Linked DNA regions of Tribolium castaneum. Each later gene encodes a partner of the first gene's protein in a complex. Links are inferred from orthologs where the notes say so. Each region holds a gene or a part of one and is shown on either strand. Other genes may lie near its edges.

Evidence for each region.
Region 2: tRNA (guanine(10)-N2)-methyltransferase homolog (region 1) and Trmt112 share a complex: the UniProt entries of both Homo sapiens proteins name them as parts of the heterodimeric TRMT11-TRM112 methyltransferase complex. The link is inferred for Tribolium castaneum from reciprocal best matches to the Homo sapiens genes TRMT11 and TRMT112.

What each region holds. Positions count from the first base shown.
Region 1 is NC_087397.1:8,654,824-8,658,971, reverse strand, and holds tRNA (guanine(10)-N2)-methyltransferase homolog, read left to right. Parts: upstream 1-1,439; 5' UTR 1,440-1,555; coding exon 1,556-1,621; intron 1,622-1,668; coding exon 1,669-1,734; intron 1,735-1,784; coding exon 1,785-2,033; intron 2,034-2,075; coding exon 2,076-2,210; intron 2,211-2,269; coding exon 2,270-2,533; intron 2,534-2,821; coding exon 2,822-2,960; intron 2,961-3,012; coding exon 3,013-3,211; intron 3,212-3,259; coding exon 3,260-3,536; 3' UTR 3,537-3,549; downstream 3,550-4,148. Other genes in the region: ppan (protein Peter pan), read right to left, coding at 3,550-4,148. UniProt on the Homo sapiens protein: Catalytic subunit of the TRMT11-TRM112 methyltransferase complex, that specifically mediates the S-adenosyl-L-methionine-dependent N(2)-methylation of guanosine nucleotide at position 10 (m2G10) in tRNAs.
Region 2 is NC_087394.1:6,130,758-6,133,692, forward strand, and holds Trmt112 (multifunctional methyltransferase subunit TRM112-like protein), read right to left. Parts: upstream 1,489-2,935; 5' UTR 1,320-1,488; coding exon 1,242-1,319; intron 1,133-1,241; coding exon 836-1,132; 3' UTR 815-835; downstream 1-814. Other genes in the region: uncharacterized protein LOC656340, read left to right, coding at 1-165; uncharacterized protein LOC655985, read left to right, coding at 1,778-1,985, 2,032-2,201. UniProt on the Homo sapiens protein: Acts as an activator of both rRNA/tRNA and protein methyltransferases. Together with methyltransferase BUD23, methylates the N(7) position of a guanine in 18S rRNA.

The DNA.
Region 1 (4,148 bases):
CAATTTTTTATGTATTTGAATTTTTAATAAAAAAATATAATTAAAGGTAGACAAAACACAAAAATATTTTTTTCGAATAAAATTTCGGAAAATTTCCAACCAAAATATCCTATGACTTTTTCACTCATAGCATAGCTCAAACATTTGATGATGAAAAACAGCTTTCAGGAAAAGATTCACAATTGAACCTCGCTTTACTGATGAACTCCTTCCTTCGCTAATACACATAACAAAAATAATTTTGTATGTTAATAAAAAATTAGACTTTAATTGTCGTTAATTTTCAACCCCCAAAACTGTCACTGGCATTTCCTTCCAAATAAATTTTGAAAGCAATAAATTTGAAATGTGTCATTCTCAAAGAAACTTTTCTAAAGGTTATTTTTTCTTGATAGTATCGGGTTCAATTTTTGCATGCACATTTACAATGAGGTTGTACATAAATCCATACAGTCCATACAGAAAAAGTTTTTGATGTATGTCTGTTACCTTTGCTATGGTCTTTACCGTCTGTATCCAGAAAAAAGTATAATAAGTCAGTCAATTTTATAAATTTGTTTGAAAATTAATTCATTAAACAAGAGCCGTATTTTTTTAGTAAATAATAGTAAATAATTTTTTAATGAATAATAAAATTACTGTCCTGTACTTCTGCACTTAACTTAATTAATTAAACTTAATTAAACTTAATTTTTTGATACCCAGATCTAATGCCCGTCATAATTTAATATTGTGCACCAAATATCGATAACGTGTAACCTATTTAATTTATTACCAGTTGAACGAGATTTCGCTTTTATTTTAATAAGAATTTAGTACTGTCCTTAGTTGTTACCACGTCTGGTATTTAACGTTAATTTTTTATTTTCTTTACTTTTTCTGTAATTGGGCTAGTGCATGTAAGAAAAACGTGGTTATTTATTTGTTTATAAATCACGTCTTTTTTCCTCCTGATCTGAGAAGTATCTTGCAATTGGCAATTAAGTCTCAACTTTATTCGGTCAGCATACAAAAAAAAGCTTTAAAAACTAAATAAAAAATGTGTAGTTTTCTGCGGAGTTCATTTCTAATTATTTTGCCTTTAACTCACTGATCCATGAACTATTTTTTGAGATATGTATAAAAGTATGAACACATTGTTTTTTGATCATTTAACAGTTCTCAGGGGCCGCCCTAAGTAACATTTATTGATTTAGGGGCCAGGGGGCTAAGAATTGAAGGCCTTGCTCTAATCAATCTTGTATAACCCGACATTCATGATGTAGTCTGAAAATTTGCTGTGACCTGATGCCCTGCAATCATACGCTTCAGGGAACCTTTTACAAAGGTATGCATGTGTTTTGTGCTTGCCTTTCATGCTCCATTGGTTGGAAGACTCAAGAATACAAGTAGAAAAAAGAATTAGCCATCACCCCGCCAACATTTCAAACTGAAACAGTACCACCAACTGAAGCAATTCTCAGATAACCCCACTTTTTCTCACTCACTACTTAACCCAAAAAACGTGTTTTTGCATTTATTTTTTACTCGAAACGACACTATTAAGTTATTCAAGATGAATAAACCGTGGAAAAAATACCTCCTGTGGTTTGCACAGGAACATATCGAATTTCGCTTCGAAGTTCGTATTCCCATTCAAATATTTTTTTTTCTCAAAATATTTTTTAGGAGATTGATTCGTTACTTTCCATGTTTCAAATTAAAATGAGACACTTCAAAGAACCAGATAATACCGTAACATAATCGTGACTTATTAATGAATAAGAGTTAAGCTAGATTTTTAGGCGCCTTATTGGATCGTTGAATTTGAGTCAGAAAGTGATTTGAAACGTTTAGTTAGCAGATCTGTCTCGATTAGATCATGTATGGAATTGTGGGCACATGCGAAAGATATCCAGAGTTTACACTGTCAGTTACAGAATTTCCCAAAACAGTTAATGGAGCCTTACTTTCAACCCCATTTGTCTTTCAAAATTGAAGTGGAAACTTTTTGTCGCCACTTCAGCCAAAAGGAAAAAATTAATAAGCTTGAAGTAGTGTTAAATAATTGATCGCCAATTTATTTTTCTGTTCAGAGTTTTAGTTATCTGCCTGTCCAAGGCCCTGTTAAATTAAAAGATCCAGATGTTTGTTTACATTACATTGAATATTACGGAACAAGGGCTAATGACCCACCTGAAAACCCTTACGATGTGTTTTTTGGCAGATGGGTCAGTTTTCATTACTCGTAAAGTAGTAGTAATAATAAGTTTCACATTTTAATTTTTAGATAGCTAATGGTTTGAGACAATTAATCAGGAAATTGTCGTTAAAAACTCGGAAATTTATTGGAAACACTAGTATGGATCCACAGTTGTCTTTATTGATGGCTAATCAAGCCCAAGTCAAGGATGGGGACATTGTCTTAGACCCCTTTGTAGGCTCTGGGTCTCTTCTGGTAGCAGCTGCAGAGTTCGGCGGTTTTGTCTTAGGAGGCGACATCGATTATTTGATGTTGCACGCAAGAACTAGGCCATCACGAATTAAACAAAAGGTAATTAATTTTTTCGGGAAAAATTCATGTCTTAATTGGTCAATGCCAGAAAATCATTAAAAACTGTTTTATTTTAAGTAATTTTCATATAAAATAATTATAGATATTATGAAAAAAGGATGCAGATTTTCGTTAAAAAATCATTAATGAATCTAGCTTTTTTCAATCAGTTTATTAATATGTTTTGTTTGTTGTCTTGCGTTCATAGTTATTTAAATACATACAAGAACAATTTATTGCGCACCGTATCATCTCCTAATATTTTTTTCACTACGTAAGTTATTTCAGGAGAGGGCAGCTGATGAAAGCATTAAAGCAAATATGGAACAGTATAATTTACAACATAAATATTTAGATGTGCTCATAAACGATTTCGCTTCATCTTTTTGGAGAGATGATGTTGAGTTCGATTCAATAATAACCGATCGTAAGTTACTCTTAATGAATGAATGAATCTTTCAATTTAGCGACTTTTATAGCCCCCTATGGGATCCGAGAAGCAACAGAACGAGTGGGCACAAGTAAAGAAAACTTCACCGTGAGCGAAAAACACCTACCCACACACATTCCAGCTAAAATTGAATATGGAATTTCTAGCATTTACAACGACTTGTTGAAATTTGCCGCAAAACATTTGAGGCTGGGTGGGAGGCTTGTTTGCTGGTTTCCTGTCTTTAGGTAAACCCCCCTCAATCGATTATCCAAACAAAGTACTTTTTTTTCCAGAGAAGACTATTCGGAAGCGGGTCTTCCCTCACATCCGTGTTTAAAACTGGTGGCAAACAGTGAACAAATCTTGACTAAAATAACGTCACGAAGACTTTTAACGTTTGAAAAAGTTCGCAATATTAACCCAACGGACGATTCCGATCAGAATAAAATTGTGGACTTTAGAGAAAAATATTATGTCGCTCGGGAGGAAACAAGGAAAGAAAAGCGAATGCGGGAAGCCAGGATCCGGAAAGAGAACTGGATCCAATCACAAAAGAACAATCCAATTTGAAATAAATTTATAATCATTTTTTAAAATTACGTTTGTTTTTTACCTTCCCTTTCCCAAAGGCTTGGCCACCGATTGGTCGCTGGTCACGATTTTGTAAATGTCTAGTGCTTTTTCCGTCGTTTCGTTTGAATTTTTTTGCGGAATTAGGCGGCTTTTCGCTTGATTTCCTCTTCCTGAACTGAACAGGTCTTGAGGGTTTTCTTTGCGATTGTGTAAACAAATCTTTATCGGGTTCTTCCCCCACCTCTTCCTTGTAGTATTCTGCATCATTATCATCTTCAACAGCAACCTCCTCATTTGATTCTTTCTTCTTCATTCCTTCAAGTGACTTTTCTTTTAATTCCTTTTTCATGTTCTCCTTCTTTTCCTTATTTTTCTCTTGTGTCTTCTTCCGCGCCTCTTTCAATTTTCTTTTAGCTTCACGTTTCTTTTGTATTTCCAGTTTCTCTTCGTCGGTTTTTTCGATTAAATCGTGGTACAAAACCTCGCCATCCAGTAGACCATCCTCAATTTTAATTAACTGTAAAGTTAGTCTTGGCCCTAGTTCTGTTAATTTGATAGAGGATTTCCCAGATTCAATATTTCCTCTTGAAATAAGTTTCTGAGATAACG
Region 2 (2,935 bases), on another chromosome or scaffold:
GCCCTAAGTAGAGGCCCTAACCGCTCCCTGCTCTCGCAAAGAACCTACCAAGCTTGTGGTTCAAACCCAGAACTGCGCAAAGGCCCCAAACAAGGCCTTGCCAAAGGCAGCATTTTCTCCCAATTGAAAAATGTCGCAGTTGGGGGCGAGTCTCGGGGAAAGTAGCAGTTCATGTGTACTATTATTTAAGTCGTTGTAAATAAGTGTGCATGCAGTGTTTAAAAAAAAACGGCAAAGCTTGAGGATATTGGCATCGAATTATTCAGATTGATCTGCAATTTCACAACCAAAGATTTTGTTACTTGTACAGTGTTCACAAAAGAACGTGCATCAAGAGTGTTGTATGAATACGGAGGACTATAAGTTAGGAGACGATTTTTTTAACCCAAAAAAATATGGGACAGACAACCATTTTAACTACGCTCTCTGGCGACGTTAACGGAACTATCGAGGACGGGAACGTTTTATTTGTACGTCATTTCTAGATATCCATAGTTTCCCGAAATCACAGCACTCTTGCACGTTTTTTTTAATAAACACTCGGAGCAATGTAGTGATCCAGAAACGCATCCTATTTTTTGGAAGGCTGTGGCTTGTAACTTATGCCGCCCACTTGAAATACCTGTGCCCCCACATATCCAGCTATATCACGATTTCAAGTCCCCTAATGTACCCCAAATATTTTTGTACTGTAAAAATTGACAAGACATATTTACACGCTGTTAGATAAAGTGTGCAATTTTCGTATTTTCTTGGTAGCTGTACAATGTCAAACGCTTTCAATTGTACTGTGTCTCAAAATAAAATGCCTTCATGGTTACTATCACTGTTTTATTTACACCTCGTCCTCATTCAGCAACAAATTCGGGATCCCGTTATTTATGGGAAACTTCCGTCCGGTTTCGGGACAGATCAGCTCGCCGTTGATTATATCGATCTCCAGCAAGGCGTGATGGGCTTTTTTCAGGAACTCGTGGTCGTTTTCGTAATTTTCGACCACGTCCTTCGGGAGCCCCTCCAGTTGGCCTATGCTTTGGGCTGCATTGTAGAGCACGTTCCAGTCCACTTTTGGGATGATTTTGGCCACGAAGTCCGGGTTGAAGTCCACTTCGGACACTCGCACGTCCGAAGCCTGAAATTTTGGGAAAAAAATTGACATAACCTCAAACAACACAAGTCGGATTTAGCCGATTTTAGGGGCGTTTTTCGCCTGAATTGTATTAAAAACGTAAAGTACTCACGTTAATACCAAGCGGGTACCCCACAGTCACGACTTTCATGCATTTGGAGGTTAGCATGTTGTGGGTTAACAATTTCATTTTCCGATTTTTGTGTATTTACGTGTATTTTTCACACCAGTGGACAATTAATTGTTTAAATCGGCCAGTTTTTCGCGTGAGACACTTTTTGCGCTCTTGGATGCTTACCCCATCACTGATTGATTTACAATGAGCTTTTGGTTCAAATTTCGCGCCTCGCTTCGAACGGAACTTGGTGACTCTTTAACAACTATTTAACCGTACAAACAATTGAATCAAGATTTTTGAACCGCCGTAGTTATTTTTTTGAAATTTGTGATTAATTTTTGGTAAGTTTTATCAATGGGGGCCGTTTTTTGCCCAGTTGGGTGAGAAATAGTTGTGGTTTTGTGGTACTTGGTTGAGGTATTTCCGGTGCATCCCAACGCTAAATCCCCAACTCGTCGCCATATTGCAGTTAGTTATATTTCGGCTTTTTAGTAACTTAGAAAAATAACCGTTTGCTGTTGGCGCGTGAAATGGAAAGCGAAGAGAGTGAGCAAATTCAAGAAGTTGAAGAAGAGTCTCAAGATTCGCAAGAATTGGCCGAAATTCCGGTGCATTTAGACGACTCGTCGGTTTCTTACGCCACATTGAGTCTATCAAACAGCAGTTCGAATATCGTTAGAGGAAAATATTACAAACAGACGTATCGCCCAGCATGGGAGCAAATGCCCGATTTTAAAGGTGAGAATTGGGGGTTTTTGTCGAGGACTTGACGAATTTTTCGAAGGTTGGCTTAGAGGAGTCGTTGGGGAACCCACGCGGGCCTATTGCACCTACTGTCAGAAAACGCTCCATGCCCATCGGTTGAGTCTCCTCAAACACACGTGTACTATCAGACACCAAAAAGCGGCACAAATTCATAATAATAGGAAGGTAGGAAAGCGTTCCGTACACAGGGTGAGTCATCAACATCATCATCAAGTCGCTTGTCTTGAGTTTTGGCAATAAACAGTTGGCTTTGTTTATTTGACAATTATTACCACTTGATTCACATTACTTTAAAAAAATTGTTCAAAAAAGCAGGCCCTGGTAGGTTGTAGTCAGGGTTGTGACGTAGATATTGAAACGTCGTTCTACAGTATAACGACGCGTAGTTTTTGCACATTTTCTACGTCATCAATCCAAATAAATTACCGAAAAATTACACTATTTTTTACGTCAAAATTTGGTAGCATTTATTTGTTCTCAAGAAGAGAAAAATGAATCAAAAATGTTCTATTACTAAATACATATCATTATTAATTAAGTAAGTTCTTTTACCATCAGAAATTGTAGTCAGTAAACAGTAAAACAAGACAATTTTCTATTATTTTCTTTATTTGGCAAAACAGATTAGTAATAAACAAAAAATAAAATCTATTCTCAAAAAAAAAATAAATAAAGTCTATTCTCAAAAAAACAAAATAAAGTCTATTCTCAAAAAACAAAATAAAAGAATTAATCTCGAGGAAAAAAACACAACCAATGTTTCTTTTTTAACTGACTTCGTTACTTTCCCGCATCTTCAGGGAGTAATAACAATGCATTATTTTTCTCGAATGATCAGCATCCAAACGATTTCTCAAATCATTGTGAATAAATGCCCAATTACTAAACACACGCTCCAAGGAAGCTGAGCTGGCTGGTATATT